Oryzias latipes: one gene and its partner. The protein of the gene in region 1 interacts with the protein of each later gene in a biochemical or structural test. Links are inferred from orthologs where the notes say so. Each region holds a gene or a part of one and is shown on either strand. Other genes may lie near its edges. The genes, in order: fcho2 and dab2.

Evidence for each region.
Region 2: the proteins of fcho2 (region 1) and dab2 form a complex in vitro, tested with the Homo sapiens proteins (2 studies listed by BioGRID). The link is inferred for Oryzias latipes from reciprocal best matches to the Homo sapiens genes FCHO2 and DAB2.

The regions. Positions count from the first base shown.
Region 1 is NC_019870.2:5,364,350-5,373,371, reverse strand, and holds the end of fcho2 (F-BAR domain only protein 2), read right to left. Parts: coding exon 8,911-9,022; intron 5,972-8,910; coding exon 5,816-5,971; intron 5,250-5,815; coding exon 5,117-5,249; intron 3,610-5,116; coding exon 3,410-3,609; intron 3,327-3,409; coding exon 3,262-3,326; intron 3,177-3,261; coding exon 3,012-3,176; intron 2,931-3,011; coding exon 2,908-2,930; 3' UTR 1,086-2,907; downstream 1-1,085. UniProt on the Homo sapiens protein: Functions in an early step of clathrin-mediated endocytosis. Has both a membrane binding/bending activity and the ability to recruit proteins essential to the formation of functional clathrin-coated pits.
Region 2 is NC_019870.2:5,119,706-5,128,402, reverse strand, and holds the end of dab2 (disabled homolog 2), read left to right. Parts: 5' UTR 1-10; intron 11-962; exon of another isoform or gene 963-982; intron 983-1,515; 5' UTR 1,516-1,630; coding exon 1,631-1,769; intron 1,770-3,645; coding exon 3,646-3,785; intron 3,786-3,849; coding exon 3,850-3,948; intron 3,949-4,024; coding exon 4,025-4,156; intron 4,157-4,234; coding exon 4,235-4,318; intron 4,319-4,525; coding exon 4,526-4,552; intron 4,553-4,622; coding exon 4,623-4,673; intron 4,674-5,370; coding exon 5,371-5,433; intron 5,434-6,142; coding exon 6,143-6,709; intron 6,710-7,089; coding exon 7,090-7,219; intron 7,220-7,299; coding exon 7,300-7,911; intron 7,912-7,986; coding exon 7,987-8,174; intron 8,175-8,270; coding exon 8,271-8,324; 3' UTR 8,325-8,340; intron 8,341-8,414; 3' UTR 8,415-8,657; downstream 8,658-8,697. UniProt on the Homo sapiens protein: Adapter protein that functions as a clathrin-associated sorting protein (CLASP) required for clathrin-mediated endocytosis of selected cargo proteins.

The DNA of each region.
Region 1 (9,022 bases):
GAGTCACAATAAACGCAATAATTTTACAAGCCCAGTCAAAACCAGCAACAAGGCTTTCAATGTGACAGCAGAAGAAGGAATGAAAACCTCGGACCTTTCATTTAACATCATAAACATCTAACCTGGTTAAGCCGAGACAAGAACACTGATTTTGACCAAAATAGTAAGACTATTATTAATAAATTGAATTTTAATGATAATAAAGCAGGTGTTATTTTCAGATCATATCAATATACCCCCCACCTTGTGGCCTGATTTGAAACAATGATTCCTGATGATTACCTGTTGTGTGATTAGTGACAAGAATTTCTTAAATATTGCAACAAATTAATTTCTAATGACAAATTTATTTTTTTTGCACATTTTGTATTTGTATTTTTGCGCATGTTGAACACCCTTCATTCTTTTGCACATTGCTGTTGTTCTTCTCTTCTTTTTTCTTTCTCTTTTTTTTTGCACTGAACTGCTGTAGCAATTGAATTTCCCCAATGTGGGATCAATAAAGAATATCTCTAACTCTAAGCACTATGCACCTCATCTTTGTCCTTTGATTTGATCAAACCTTATGGATTGTTTAAATGATCAGCACTTGTTATTGTGAAAAAACTATAAATATCTGATCAGAAGTTAAAAAGCAGATAATAATAATTTAAAACTCAATTGTTAGGTAAAGCAAATTAGGGGCTGGATTTTATAAATTAGCTTCCTTCTACTCCTTTTCAGGTAATTAATTAAATTACTTATGACACTTAATATTTAATGGTTTTAAATGTGTCATGTATCAAATGTAAAGTGACAATATGTGCATTTCAGATTTAGAGTAATTATAATAGAATAATTTCTATGTGTATGTGGGTCTATAAGTGTGTGTAAAATAAAAAAAATCAAATCCGATAAATCTAATTATCTTTAAAATAACCTGTTTTTACTGAAACTGAAAGGACTTTGATAAACTATTGTTTAATATTAAGTTTGTGTTTTGCTATATTTTTATTTTACCTACAGCTTTCAATTTTCTTTATGATGTAGAATGAAAATAAAAGTAATCATAACGTATAGGGTGGCAACAAAAAACACACTCCAAGTAGTCATTTTCATATATTTGTATATATCCATATATTACACATTTAATACAGACGATAAGAAATCATAAAATAGACAAAAAGTGACTGAAATATAAGGAAAAAGGTGAGAATCATCTTACACAATGTTGTTTTTTTAGTTGTTTAATACAACAAATAGAAAAGAGAGAAGCTGAATTTAGAAAGAGCTTTTTTTAAAGGATAATCTTAAAGTTGTATCGGGTCAGCAAGAACCAGCTTGCTAATACTGAACAGTTCTAGGGTCTACACAGCCATTTTTAAAATGTGCTCATCTTTTTGGAGAAAAAGAAGCAATAAACAGAATGCTTTCCATTAAGTAAACAATGTTAGATCTTTCTTAGACTGATTTTTTTAAAGTATTTTAAAAAATTCAGAGGCAGAGAAAATGGAAAAGAAATTGTACATTTTTGAAGATAAATTTGTGACCAAAATAAAGGTTTCAAATGCCTTCCAACATCTAATAAGCGGTTTCTTTTGTCGACACCTAATTAAAAATAGGAACTTTTTCTACTATTCTATTGGAGGGTTGCTTCAGGTTAAATGATTATTGTATTAAACTCCTCTCCTAAAAAGGTTTCAGCAATTTGGAATCACAGTTTTTAGACAATTTATGCAACAACAAAAAGTGCCACAGGGCCACCTACTAATGGATTTTGCCTCCAAAAGATATAAATCAGCCTCTGCAGAAGCAGCCCTTCATTAAAAAAAGACAAGAGAGAAGCACCAAGAGTCAAAAGTGACCACATTTTTTGCTTTGCAAAACCTGCTGAAGAAAATCCCAGCATGCACTGGTGCAAAAGGCAAGAGAGGTGAGTGATCCAGCCCAACTTTAACGGCAGAGTTTCTAACCACAGGAGAGGTCCGGATGAGGCGTTTTTTTAATCCCACTGAGACGCTCTGAGCCAACGCCGTGAGGCAGACGGTGACAGCAAACAATCGCAGATCCATCGCCATTTCACTTCTGGAAGATGAGACGCGTTCCCTTCAACATCCAAGTATTAGAAGTAAAAAAACACAATCGGGGCACGTTGGTGCCGCCGTTGTTAACTGCGCTGCGGTGCACAAAAAACGTATAAAATTTAGGTACAATTATCATTTACAGCACACAGAAGGGTGGTTAAAAGTTCAATTTGGTGCAAATGTCCCTGGATGTTTGACCCCTAAACAATCCAACTCTAGAGGGTTTTAAGAAAAACTGATCAGAATCCAGAAAAGGTGATTGTTCAGAAAAAACTAATTACTTTTTTGCCTTTTGTTTATAGTAGAAGAGAAGGCACTGATGTCAGATTTTTTTTTTTTTTTTTTTGCACTCCAATATTGTTTTAAAGGTCAGACTGATGTGAGTAATGTAAAAGACGGATTCCACCTTCATCGCTTCATTGCACATAATTGACACAGACAGAGAAAAACACAAACATCAGTAAAGAAAGCAGGTCTGGGGTGTTATTTACAGTTAGGAGGGAAAAAATGTTTTTTCTTCTCAGAGAAGAGGGAAAAAAGGTATTTGGAGGATTATTAGTGCACTTTTTTTTCTTGTTTTATGATTTCAAATACAATAAAGATTTATAGCTAGTCAATAAATCCTTTCTTTCCTGTACAAAAAGGAATAGATCAGAACTATTAGACTTTATATCTACACGTTTCCTGAAAGCGCATCTTAAGTTTTCTTTTATTCTTTTTTTTTTCAACAGTGTTCAATACTCAGTGCTGCCTTATGTAGTGAGATTCTCGCTTCCTGTGTGAACCGCCGCAGCTCCATTCCCCCAAGTTTTCTGTCAAATAAGGGCTTTTCTTTCCGGTTACCTCAGCAGTCCGCCATGTAACGCCCTGAGGAGACAGACAGATGATTTCTTTTTGAGACGTGGCGGTCTACATGGACCATCAGCAGTGTGGAAGAATGCGACTAACCGGTGGCAAATCTTTTCTTGCTGAGGGAAAGCCTGTATCCAGAGCCCAGCAGCTCCATGTCCACTCCAGACAGGGTGGCGCCCTCGCTCATGAACTGCACTGCCAGAGTGGACGGGTTGGACGGCCCATGTGAGAGATCAAATTTAGCCCTTATAGACCCCGCACCTGAGGGACGGACATGTAAAAGGGGTGAGGAAACTGGACAACTCTTGTTTAAAACACTCTTGTTAAAGTTTGAATGAGCTCACACCTTCGTTTTCTGATTTACTGGAGAGGTCGCTTAGTTTCCAGAGACACTTATTCTGCTCTGAACTCCTGAAATAATAAGGTGGTACAGTTGAAGCTTAGAGGGTTCAGCAAAAGGAAGACGTTCTGGTATGTCCACATGCGCGTCTCACCATATGGAGTTGGGCAGAGATTGCACGCTGGTGACTCCTCCGTCTACAGGGACCAAGACCTGCAGGTTGGTGAGCGAGCCTGGGGAGTCCATGGATTCTGGGTTGTAGCGGTAATCCACCCGCAGGTCTGTTGTGCTTGGTGTGCACTTCCAGTAGACGGCCAGGTTGAGCGGGGTGGAATGGATTCCGTCAGACTGCACCTGAATGCAGCAACATGAAATGTCTAGTTTTTCTGTGACTAATAAAGTTTAACTTGTAACGCAGAAACCCTGCACTTCAATCACTGGGATTCATAAATGAGGGACTCGGCTTTGGCCCGGGACGCGCTGAGGGTGTCAGTGGGTGGAGTCCAAGACCAACATGGAGGAGAATCTGACTGTTATCCTCCTGAACTTTATGATATTGTTCTTATTAATAACAAAAAACTCCTCTAATCTTGTTCTTATTTGTATTTTTTTCCCTCTTTAGATTAATGCGGAACAGTCAGTCATCAAACTGGGTCAAAGAAAGCCAGAAGCACAGCTGAAAGCGTCTGTTATGCAGACACAGCTCCTGCAGTAGATGCTGAACCTCACCGTACTGGTGAGTCTCATGAATCCATGGAGATGCAATTACTGACGCTTTTTTAGAGCTCTCCAAAATAAATAAACCTGATCTCTCAACATCATCCATGTCCTCCATGCCATAACTGTATGTAAGACCATTAAAAGGTGAATTTCTAACAAACTCCTGCTGCTCTGCAGAAACTATGACCTAGAAAACGACTGATGGGGCAGCGGTAGGGCCGTCGACCCACGATCGTAAGATTGCAGGTTCGATTCCCGCCTTGCACGCCCATGAGTCGAAGTGTCCTTGGGCAAGACACTGAACCCCTAATTGCCTCTGGTGGTAGGTTGGCGCCTGTGTTTGGCAGCGGAGCCGCCACCAGTGAATGTGAATGAGTGTGTGAATGTGTGTGTGACTGGGACTGTGACTGTAAAGCGCTTTGTCCTTGTAGGTAGAAAAGCGCTATATAAGTATACGCCATCTACCATTTACAGGTGTTTGGAAAAATGGCATAATCATTATTACAAGACCCTGGGAACGCTTTTACAATAGATAAAAAGATGATCGGGGGGGGGGTTAACCCTGGAGAACCCAAAAACTACTTTTTAGGCGCTTTAAGGTAATTTGATTATTTTTTTGTTCTTTTATTTTGGGTAGCAGCAATGAAGATCAACCTACATAATAAATGTAAAAAAAAAAAAAAAACGAAAAAACAAAACAGCGGCCAAATTAAATTTTGTGGGTTCTCAAAAGTTAACCTGCTAACATGATTTTAAAAATATAAAATCTTTGTTTTTTTTTTGTGGAGCACATATAAACAACATTTAACACATTTTCGTGTTGACTTACAGAGCTGTAGAGTGAAACTATTGTTGAATTTCTGAACGGGACGTTGTTTCAGGCAAACCATGAATGTTGGACCAGAATGAAACATTAGTTTTAATTTATTGAGATAAACAGCCAAACATAAAAACCCCAATGAAGCCGTGTAAGTCTGTGGATGATGGTTTACTTCCAAAAGAAAGAGGATATCAGAGCACTGAAGGTGAACGCTCACTCCAGCAAAAACAGTGCAGATGAAATATGGCAACCTAATCAGAATCATATTCAACGCAGTCGTATTTCTTCTTTTAAGAGGCTCAGATAACAAAAACTTCTCACCTGGTATTTCAGGATGTCCACGTTGTAGTAAGAAGCTGAAGGGTTCTGCTCGGAGGCTTTTCTGAGGTAGGTTGTCAGTGCTTGCATGTTGAACCAGAAACTCTTGGAGTCTGAATCACTTTGGGAAGGGTCACTGGACAAAAGCCAAACACACACACACAAGGAATAATCAGAAGCTCAATCAATCGCTATAGCTTTGTGTGTGAAGCTCCAACAGCTTGGAAAATATGAGGCTGTTATATCCAAGCAGCTACTAAATCGTGAACTTCGGTTGATTTGATTAGCCTTGCCATGTGGTCGGGAGGAACCAGAGCGAAGAGCAAATAAAGATGTAGTTTCTTTATGACTTTCTCTAGTGGCAAAAACAGCCGGCCTTACATATTTAGCACCTTACTGAAAGCTGGGCTGACTGTGAGGTAAAATACACATTCAATACGTTGTGCTCCAACAAACGAGGTGAGAAAGGCAATAAAGTGTTGGATGAGTCTGGTGCTGAATGAAGCTGCAGTTTAATGAAGTGTTTCCTTCAGAAGAGACACGAGCAGCTGAGAACCTGAACGTCTGCGGGAGAATACTTCTCTGACGGCCTAATGACAGCTTTATGTCCTCGTGATAATTGAATTACCCTCCAGTGACGCAGAGGCCACTTCCTTCCAGCTCAAGTCTGTCTTTGACCAGAGCGTTTTGGGGGATCCTCACCTGTGGAGTAGCTGCACGTTGGGGAGGATCTGCTCCAGCCTGCTGGCATTCTTCAGTTTGAAGGTGAGGACAGCGGGGGACGGGTTGGACGTGAAGACTTTGATGATGCCCATAGGGAATGAGAGCGTCATGTCTCCTGTGATCTTCACAATGCACCTGTGGAGAAACCACCAGGTAAAATCCCCTGATTTACAGAATTACTGCAAAAGTGAACAAAAGTTCTCTAAGGCAGTGGTTCCCTACCTAAGGCTACAGACCAGTTTAACCCATCCCTCCATCCATTTTCTTAACCTGCTATATCCCTTTTGGGGTCACAGGGTTGCCAGAGCCTGTTCCAGCTACTGTTGGGTAAAGGCAGGGTTCACCAACAAGCAAACTCCAAATAGAAAGGTCCCAACTGGGATTCAAACCAGGACGTTCTTGCTATAAGGCGAAAGACCACTGCGCTACCGGACCTATATAATGTCAGACGACATATTCATGGAGTGGTCTGAACAAGGCTGAAGTTGGGGTTCGATTTCTTTTTAGCCTCCAGTTTCCCTTGCCTTTTAAGGCAGTCTTCATCCTCTGTAAAACATCTGTTTAAACTTGTTCTCTAGATTTTATGAAAGCACCATTAAAATGTGATCCACATTGTCCCTTAATGCATAACTATCAAAGTAAAAGCTACAAAATCACACGCCAACTTTAATCTTGTCCGACTTTTAAGGTGCGAAAAAACAGTCACTGGAAGTGGTGTTTTCTAAATAGAATATGAATCATGCATCCACCATTTGAACAAATTTATTGGCAGAATTCTCGTAAAATTAGATACTCACTGTTTGTTTGTTTGTACTGAGCCTGTACACGGTCAGTGCAACAACACATTTTCCCGGTCTGGGATCAATAAAGTGTCTTTATCTTATCTTATTAGACAGCCGGTTGCTGAAGATTATGCATTATTATTGTTGTCTCAATAAATACAATTTTGGAGTCAATACTCCTGGTTTCTGTTTGCAAAAGATGTAGTTTTCTTTTATTTTGAAGTTGAAGGCTCTTCGTCCGTTTCCTCACTGACTCTTCTGCCACAAAAAAATATTTCCAAATATGTTTTTTCATTAACTTTGCTGGCTTGGGGATTTCAGTTTTGCTGACGGTGCTGCCGCTTTAAGAAAGTAGCGGATGGATTTTCAACAAGAGCGACTTGGAATTTGTCATTATTGGGTCGGATGTGGTGAAGAGAATCCAGTAGTTTTCTAAAACACAACTTCTTTCAGTTTATAAATAAAACAGAAAAAAATGTGGCTTGTGTTTTTTTTCTATGCAGCTGGTACCAACTTCCCCATGGACCGGTACCGGTCTGCAGCCTGGATGTTGGGGACCACTGCTCTAAAGCACAAAGCACCATCAGAACTGTCTCATAGGAATCCAGCGGCTGCACACGGTAACAGAGAACCAAAAACTAACTTGTGTTCACCCTGGAAGGATAAATACATTTTAATGTAACACAAAAATGGTACAACTGAACAAAACCGATGTCCACAGCAATATTTCCATTACATCCTGATTAAGTTCATATCTTAAGACATTATCATGCAAACAAACTCTTTAATCACCTTTATCTTATTCCTGAAATTTATAGAATGATTTCATTTATCTGAAACATGTTAATAGTTAAACACCTAGTTTGCAATGGAAACAAGCATTTGCAGGAAGCACTTCCTGTGTTTCCTGACGGTTTTATGACTTTTCATCCGCAGACAAAGTTTTTAAGGCATTTGTATCTTCAGTTTTGCTTTTGTCCAACTGTCCTGAGCGTCTTGGAGAGCTAAAAACCACTATGCTGGGCACGTAAACACAGTCACTGCAAATTTTCCACAATGTGCTGATTTATCTACTGTCCAGTTTGATCATTTTTATACATTTTAGTTATAAAAGGAGTTTTAAAAGATCTACTAAAACGTTGGTGTTACAGTCTTCTCTCATTTATTGCGTGAATTATGTTGCCTGCAAAAGGTGAAATTCGCAAAGTATAATTATAGATATTTTAAGCCTATAAAACTCCTCACTACGCACTTTATACCCTTTACTCAGACAAACATGGACAATTTCACTTTTCTCTCTTGTTACAAATGCTCAAAGTTTCAACCTTCATGGAGAAATAAGTCCAGTATTTTAGAATGAAAACAAAGATCTGAACGCCATCAAATATTTATGTAGATTTGGCAACCTGAAGGCACTCCTGTACAGGAGACACAGCATGGAGGATAATAGGTGACAAAGTCAACAGCCAATCAGGAAGCAGAACCCAGTTTGTTGTTAAAGTATAAAATATATATATATTTTTTTAATTCTGCAAAAAAGTGAGACCACGATAAGGTGAACTGCGATGTAGCGACAGACCACTGTAATTGGTATTAAAGTAAAAATAATCCTTTGCAGGATTTTTCCAACATAAACTGCTGTTTAAAGTCAAAAACCAGAATTGTTAATAGATTTATTCCGACTTCAAGTAACTTTTTGACTCGTTCACAGGTGTTGGTGTAGGCTTGAAAATGATTCATCTTTTTATCATCAGGATTTTGTTGTAGAGTAAAAAATGCATTTTCCTTTTCTGAATAAAAATAATTATAAATATAGTTTATTACTTATTCTATGTGTGTAGGGATGGTATAGTTCTTGTGGCGCTTCTGCAACTGCATGAGAGGACTGGATAATATTGGGGGACACTGGGGAGGGGGTGTCTTGGCTGGGGTGTTTGCTCCCCTCTGCTGGTCTTGAACTCGCACAGGGCTTTGGCTGCATAACTTATATAAAAAAAATTCCATTTGCTAATCTCCTGCAAAAATAAGCCTTTTTGCACAGCAGCAATTTAGCGGCAGTTAACCAATAAAAGACTGTATGTTTTTCTCTGATGTGGAATCTGACTCGGAATCTGCTCATGCAGGTAATCCCTTCTGAAAGAACGGTGCCAGACTCGCGCAGAACGTTACACGCATGCAGAACGAGCGGGGTAGAACTGTCTCCCTGCTGCAAGCTGGACTGTGAAACTCCGCAGTGACACTGGAGGTATAGAAAATAAAGTTGCGGTCTTTGGGTTGTCACGTGAGACTCACTTAGTGGGATCAGCTCCTTTGAAGTAGGCATTAACTGACTCTGTGAAGGCCACGGCAATGGGCAAGGCATCTTGGGATGCCAGGGTCACAGGGCTGGGACCGCGAGACGTTC
Region 2 (8,697 bases), about 240 kb from region 1:
TTTCATACAGGTACGCGTCTCTGGATTCCTCCATGAGTGCAGCAGGTTTTAAACTTTAAAATTCCAACATGATGAAGGATTCTATGGCTGTCACTGAGACAATTCAGCATCACTTTTTTCTGTTTTGGGTCTATTTTCAGCTTCCTCGGAAATTAGGTTTCATTTGCGCAAACGTGCGCGCGTCTCCAAAACCACAGAAGGCTCTTTGTTTGAAGCTATGTTTCGTTTGGGGGTTCGCCTCTCCTGCCTGTTCACACCGGGCCTGTGCTGTTTCACCACCTCATTCACATGCAGGCTGACTCATTCCCTGATTTCCTCCAGATGTGCTGCCCTTTTCCCTGACTGCTCACTATTGTGACATCTCTTTCTTTGCTGACGGAGATCATTTGGCTCCTGTTTAATGCTTTAGCGCATCTCCTGATGGTTAAAAAGTAAACTTTTAAGCTCAAATCTTCAGAAAAGGCTGACATCACACCTTTTTTTTATTGGGCTCCTCCTGCTTTGATGAGCAAGTGCAGTCAGGCTGGGCATGATGAGTGAGTGAAGCATCCACTGGTGTTTAAAGGTTAAACATGTAATTAAAAAGTTGATTTACTTAGAAAATAAGCACAGATGAGTAAAAAGTAAGACATTTATTGCTTTATAGTCCAGCAGGAACTTGTGAGTGTCCAGCTCAGGTGTTGCTTATACAGGTAATTAAACCCCAGCTGCTCTGCTCTGACCAAATTCTTTCATTTTGGGTAGTGTTTTCTTTTGAGACAGACTTTTCATCCTTCTGCTGATTTAACTTTATATATATATAATTACTGTTGATTTTCATTTCTACTCCTGAGCATCACGAGATCCTCTCACCGCTTAGGGTAAAATTAACTCCAGGTAATTGCTCAACCTTTGCTCATTCCCAACCTTTGGTCTGCTGCTGTGCTCCAGCTCTTTACATTACTGTTGTGGTTGCTGTAGTGTCTGCAGCCCCTCGGAAAAGGTAGGAGCTCCTGCTGCTGTTTCGGTCAAATTTGAGTAGTTTTTGGTTGTTCTATTTTGATTTGGCTGAATGCACCTTTTAGTTTGGGATCCCAAACGGACTTATTAGGGCTTTAAATATGGTGGTAATCTACTAAAAATATAATTTAAACTATAAACAAGAGTATTTGTGGAGTGAGTGCTTAAATGTTAATTTCCCTTGGAGTGTCAGGGTGCAACCAGCAGGGCTTTTTATGGATGTGAGGTTTGGTTATGCTGACAGATTTCGGAAGAAGTGACTTGAGCGTGTCATCCTGAGGATGTTTCACTACTTTAAAGTCAAACTGCTGACACAGCTTCTTTTTTTTTTTTTTAAAGAGTGGAATGAGTTTGGATCTCATGAGTGTGATGTTTTATTGGTCATGTGTCTTGTTCTGGTGCTGTAAACCTTTACTGGTGGGGATGAAGATTTTCTGCCTATTGTGTGCAAATAAAAAAGAAATCCTCTAGGAAATCAGTTTTTAACGTCAAAAATATCTACCTGTGTCGTTTTAGGCGGAGAGGCATGCGCGGGTGTTGAAGGCCTCATTTTCCCTTCATCGCCTGCTCCCTCCAACCCGGAGCTGCTGTTTGCTTTACCCCAGGTTGTCACTCGTTCGAGTCCCCCGCCATGTCTGCAGAGGTGGAAACCAGCGCGCCCGCAACTGTCGATCCAAGCTCCCAGACTGCGGACTCGACCCCCGGGACCCCACCCACGTCCCCCAGCACGGCCACATCCAGGGTCCCGTTCAAGAGGGAAAAGAAGAAAAGTGAGTTATGAATCTGAATCGTTTTCTTATTTTATTGTTTTGTGTCACTTGTCTGCTCTGATTGGACCCCTTCTCCACCCTTGGAAAGCTCCACCCACTTTCTGAATTAACCATCGTTGGTCTCTCTTTGGCTCAAATGTCAGCTGGAACAGTTCGTACATTTTCAGAAAACTTGTTTGATTAACTTTTCTGAAAATGTACGAACTTTAAGGCAGCAGTTTTTGTTCTTCAGTACTTCAAGGACGAGTGTCAGCTGACAGTTGAGAGGATATAAAACTGTCAAAAGGAAACTTTAGTTTTTTTTTTAAATCTCTTCACTACTGCACAAGTATATGGCTTTACGTCCATGTTAATGCTTGGCTGTTGCATAATCTGGAGTAAATGGCCTTTGCTAATGAATCTAAAAGCAGAAGGTCAAGTTTTGGGGGCTAAAGCTAAACTTAAAGCCAAAAGCTTCATGCCTCCATTGTTCTCAAAGCAAAATACAGTCTTATGTTTTTAACAAGGGTGGCAAAATTTATCCATGCATTTTAAATAGTCCTCTTATTTTAATATATGAAGTTATAATACTTGAAGGAAGTCTCTTAATGGTTTAGTAAGGTTCCTAAAATTTTGTTTTTTACCTTTTCACATGATGGGCTGCCCTCCTTTCAGGTTGGGGCATTTCTGGGGTTCACTTTACGTCAAACCGTTAGATTAACAGTAATAATGTGGTCGGTGGCATGCTAAATAATACATTTTGGTAGCCATATGATTTTTTTTTCTTCCGAAATGTATTGTTTAATTAAATTTAAATAGAATCTTCAGCTTAAGCCAATAATCATTTTCCCCCTGTTTGTATTTTTCTTCTTACCTAACTTATTTGTTTTTCTGCACCCTTGGGTTTTTACAAATACATCAAGTAGAAAAGAACAAATCTTTGATTTCCACAAAGGGGAAGTTACTTTGTTGCTTAATTACAAACGGCAAATGGATAACAGGACCGAAAATGCACCAATAAAAAAAAAAAGACAAACATCTGAGGCATTGTTGTCTAATGGCTGAAGGTAAAAGATCTGCAAATGTGCTCCTTCCTTCAGCGAGGTGTTAAAATCTCTGACAGAAAGCTCCTTAGTGCATCCCAGTCTCATGCAGAGGAGGAAGAAGAGGGTTGTTCCTCATGTTTTGTATTTTCCCTAACATCCTCCTCTCACCCACCACAGTTACAGACTCGAAGGGACATCCCAATAGGTAGTCACACCTCCACAGCCCTGCACTTGTTACCATCTGATAAATCTCGATAGGCTCCAAAGTCAGCAATACATAAAAGCAAGGAAATGGACTGATCATATAAGACAAAAACTAGAGTTGTGCACAAAAGCAAGGCTTTTTTTTTTAAAGAGTAATCTTATAAGTCACGATGAAGCTGCATCCTTGAAAATCTCTTTAGTCTTTTTTTGTTATTAAAAACTGTCAATATATTTTGAGAGGAAATTGTGTATAAATGTAAAAATGCCTAAAATCCAAACATGGAAATTTTTCCAATTTATTTAGATAAGTGTATGTATTCTGGACAGTAAACTCAGTTTTTTCACAGAAATAATTGCATTCCGTCTTAACCTTTTGTCTCGACCAGCTCAATAATAACGAGGCAACTTGTGGTTTGCTTCCGTTTCAATAAAGCCGGCATTCTCCAGGAAGTCCCGTCTGCTCTGAATATGAAGCTGCTAGTCAGCCTTTGATTTCACATGGAGCTGCTGGCCATGCATCAAAAAATGTAAAAAAAAAAGTTGCTGACTGGATAATACAATAGTTGAGCTGCAGTTTGGTCTCTATCCTTATAGAGTAGATTTTTGAACACAAGTCTTACTCTGTGGATCCCTGAAATTTTCCGTAGCTCCAGAGAAGACAGACGATTACCTGCTGAGCAGGTTTCAGGGAGATGGGGTGAGGTACAAGGCCAAGCTGATCGGCATCGACGACGTTCCAGAGGCCCGAGGAGACAAGATGTGCCAAGATTCCATGATGAAACTGAAGGTAAAGCTGGAATTTTGCTGTGATCTTCTATGAAAACGATTTGAATTTGTTTGCTTGCCTGCAGGGAATGGCAGTAGCTGCTCGGTCTCAGGGCAAACATAAACAGAGGATCTGGGTCAACATCTCAATGTCTGGTCTAAAGATCATTGATGAGAAATCAGGAGTAAGTCCCACTGACTTCCAGCCTTAAGGGCTTCATGTCTTCGTGCTTATTTGGTGTTTTCCTCTTTTCTTTCCAGGTGATCGAGCATGAGCATGCGGTGAATAAGATCTCCTTCATTGCCAGAGATGTGACGGACAACAGGGCTTTTGGATACGTGTGTGGAGCAGAGGGTCAGCATCAGTTCTTCGCCATAAAGACCGCGCAACAGGTAAGGCTCAGAAGTTCACAGATTAAAAGAAAACTGCAAAAATGAAGCAACTTTTTACTTTTTTTTTCTTTTTTGCAGGCGGAGCCTTTGGTCATCGACCTGAAAGACCTTTTCCAGGTGATCTTTAACGTGAAGAAAAAAGAAGCAGAGTCTTCGCAGAAGGTAACGTCTGCGTTCAGATGGCAGTTTTTTTTTCTCCTTAAAGAAAAGCCTTGCATGTGTTGGACAGGAAATGCTCTCTTTGAAAGTCAACACTGCCTCTCTGTGTTCCTGCAGTGAATCACATCCTCCAGACATTCCACTCCAATGACGTGTTTGTGTGTGTGTGTGTTTAAGAAAACCGCCTTAACAGTATGCTTCTGTTTTCAGGGTGAAAACGGCAGCGTTGTAGTCGAGGTAAGCTCTTGAATTTTGTTCTTCTTCAGACATTGTTTGTTTCAACTCCTAACTTTTTTTATTTTTTTAGAATGGAGGTGATGCCTTGATGGGTGTAGACAATGGAGTAAAAACTGCTCAGGTGAGTTGTTTATTTTTATTTTTTTCAGCTAAAAGATGCACTCCAATGTAAATCATGTCTTTTAATATGTTGTGTTTTTCTGATAATGGAGGACATATGTAAAGAAAATTAAGCCTTAAATTACATTTCTGTATGTTTCTGTATTCTTATTGTTGTGAATCAGGAACAGACAAAACACAGATTGAACTACAGATTGTAGTTTTTGCATAGGAACTATGCTGGGTGGACCACAAGCTCCCTGCTCTGCTCTATTCGGATGCAGCCGCCTGTAGACGAATAGATCCATGTACATCTTTGTTTTCCTTGTCTGAGATGGCATCTGGCTTAAAACTGTACAGCTGGATGGCTCCGATTTTGCTCACCATTTTGCTGCACTGTTAATGTTAGGTTGGGGGGTGTGAGGGGCTGTAAGCTAGCAGGAGAGAGTTTAAACAGGAGTCTCAGCCAAAAGGAGGGGGGCAATAGTCCTGCCCATAACTCTGAGATTAATTTCTAATGAACTCCTGCTACTCTGCAGAAACGGTCCTAGAAAACGTCAGGTCTTTTAATTTTGGCTAAAACATAATCATAATTAAAAGGCTACTGAGAACGGATTGAAAGTTGATCAAAAGATGATCGGAGTGGGACTTCAACAATAAATATGTATTAATGAAATTGAATTCAAAAACAAATTGAACTTTTTTTGGTTGAAATTTAGCCAGTAGAGCAGCTGGATCTCTTTGGAGACATGTCGACTCCTCCAGACGTCCAGGCTCCCAATGTAAGTTCAGACACATATTTTTAAATTTCATTACCTTTTCTTTGTTTTTTTTTATTTTAATTTTTTTTAATTTTTATTGTATCAAGACAGACTTACCCAAATAATTCTACAAGTGTTTTCTAGATGTGTAAACAAACAAAAAAAATTCTGTTTTTCTTTTCTTTTTTTCTGCCATTTCTGTTCAGGATTTTTCTTGTAATTTTTGTTCTATAAAAATAATTTATCAAAGTCAAAAAATCAAATGCTTTCTTCAGATTTGTGTTCATTTCAGTTCAAAGCTGTTCCATGTAGAATATTTGCTAAATTCAGTCAAATTAAATCATTTAAACCAGTGGGGTCCAAAAAGTGACCAAACTGCAAAAAAAATAAATCCTAAATTAAAATTTTCCACAACGAAGTCTTGGTTTAAGAAAACATGTCTTAGTGACATATTTTTCTTCTTAAAATTAATTTTGGTAAACTATTTTTTTCTTCCCACATTGTCAGACTTAATTATTTATGTAAGGAGAATTCTTAGAATTTTAAGAATTTTGATTTATTTCTAGGGTGGCTGTTTATTTTCCAAATTGGACTATGAGCTACATTTAAATGTTCTTCTACATGCAGCAGAACTTGAACAATCATTCCTTCTCCTCATCATGTGATTCATTGATTTTATAACATGATTGTCTGCAGAAGTGATTCATGAATCTTGTTTCATCTTAACCAGGACTCTAATGAAACGCTCTTGCTGGACTTTTCTGCTGAAGTTGACGACAATCAGAATTGCATAAAAGGAAATTCTTTTCTAGCCTTTGGCCTCGGCTCTGTGACGTCTCCCGATGCCAATCCCTTTTCTTCAAAGTTTGGTTACTTCCCCGCTCCTGACAGTGACCCTTTTAGAGATGACCCTCTCGCTAAATCGGCAGGTGACGCCCCCGTTTCCCCCAGTGACTATCTGAAACACCTCACTGGTGGCTCCACTAAGACTGTTTGTAACGGCGAGATGAACGGCGAGGCAGAAATTGGTCACCGAGGTATTGGGTTGTCTGGAAAAACCATTAGCCTTGCTCTTAACGATGGACAGTGGCCACTAGGCGGCAGCATAGCTCAAGGCAGTGGGATCACCTTGACAGACGGGAATGAGACCATTCTGTCAAACAAAAACCCATTTTCTGACCCGTCTCTGAAAACCTCCGTCTTAAACGGCGTAACTCCACGTCCGGAAGTGGATTCGGTTGTCCTGAGCCCGCCCCCGCAGAGCTCTAAGTCCGGACGAGGGCGACGGAATGCAAAGGTGAAACGACACGGTCAGATGGATCGCAAGTGGGGTTGCATGGGTTGAGCAAAAAAGCCTTTTTTTTTGTGGCACGAGGTGCACTAACATCCCGAGCTTTGGGTGGTGGACAGACTTTAGAAACTTCACACCTGCAGCTGAGGTTCTTTTGACACTTGTTGGTGCATGAACTGATGCTTCCACGCTTCTTTGCCTGAATTTCTGAAATGTCTCCTTCACTCATTTCTGCTCATCTGTCTTTCTAACCCTGATGCTTCAGTGATGAAAGCTCTGGTGAGTTGTGAGGCACGTTCTGACCACTTTGTTTTTCACAGCTTAGTTCTTCACGCTGGTTCTTGGGGGTGTAACTTGACCTAAAATGTTTAATATTTTCTGGTTAGTCGGGATCAAGTGACCTGTTTGGGACAGAACTCTTTACCACTCCTTCCCATTCTGAGGGTTCATCTGTCCCGGCTGACCTTTTCAACAACATGCCTGCAAATTCACCCCCCTCCACCATCGCTGCTCTGGGTAATCTATAAAACAATGTTGGCTTTTCTTCTCAGTCTGTGCCTTTTTTTTAAATTTAATCTTTTTATTCCCTTTTTCAGGAAATCTTCAGTTGGGCTTCCCTGCTACCACAACTGTCCATCCTGTTGGTATGTGGGGAGCCTCTCCTGCTGCGCCAGCCATGTTCCCCATGCCAGGGGTGGCCGCTCCGGGCCCCAGACCCAGTTTCATGCCGCAGCCTGCCTTTGGGCCTCCCATGGTGGCCCCGGCATGGCCTCAGCAGATGCCACCACAGTTCAATGCCCCACCCTTGTCTCCACCTCATCTCTCCTGGGGCCAACATGCCGCATCCAATCCCTTCCAACAGGGTGCTTTCCCAGCAATGGGAGACCAGGGAGGTCCAGCACGGCCCCCTCCGAGGGCCCCTGTCAAGCAAGCGCCTCCCAAAGTGGAGAACAGTGCCTTCACAGCTCTGGATCCTCTGGGAGATAAGGATAAGAAAACCGGAAAGGATATGTTTAAAGACTTCCAGCTGGCTAAACCTCCTGCCATCCCTGCAAGGAAAGGGGAGCTTGCTGCCAACGCTGCTGCACCCCCCAGCAGCAAAGATCCAGGGGCTTTTGATCAGTACTTTACCAGTAAAGTGGGGGTGGCTCAGGATGCAGCAGATCAAGACGACTTCGATATCAACCAGATTCCGTTAGCTAACAACGGTAAACTCTCTGAATCTTGACTTTACACTTTCCCGTGTTCGGCTATCGTTGACTGTGTCGTGTGTTTTTGTTTAGGTGCTTCCAAAGCCCCTCCTGCTCAAGCTGCTGCCCCGGCTCCGCTCTTTAACCCCGATCTCCTCGATTCTGCCTTCTCTTCTGTCGGGAACAGTTCAGCGCAGCCGGCGAGCGTCAACCAGGATATGTTTGATCAGGCATTCGGAGCTCCAAATTCTAATCCTTTTGGAGCGCCGCCCATAGCTGTGGTATAAAGAAACTGTTTTTTTTCTTCTTCTCCCCCAGTATGAAATGCTGATATGGAATAAAACTCATCTTCCCTCTGCTTCTTGTTTTTCTGCCAGAATTCTGCTTCAACTGATGCTTTTGGAGATGCATTTGGAAACCCTTTTGCTTGACCTCAAGTTTGACAGAGTATGTCTGGGTTTTTTTCTGTTCTCTTTATATTTTCTGTATTAAAACATTTAATTGACTTATTTTTTAAACAGATAAAAAGAATGAGACAAACATCGGAGATCTTCCCATCTAAGACCTTTTGATGACAAGCTGCTCTGTGCAAGACAATCCAAGAACGCCTCCTCTTTTCCCGACTCCCCTTTACTTTAGTTCTGTTGCCCACTGATTTAAAAAAGAAAAGTAAATGTCGTTATCTGCTGAAAGAAACGTGTGTAAAAGAAAATTTGTGGTTCCACTGCTGATGTTTGTTAAAGAAATAAATCATAATAATGCTACACGGTCTCAGATTTGTTTTTGGTCTGTCAGAAAAAGAAG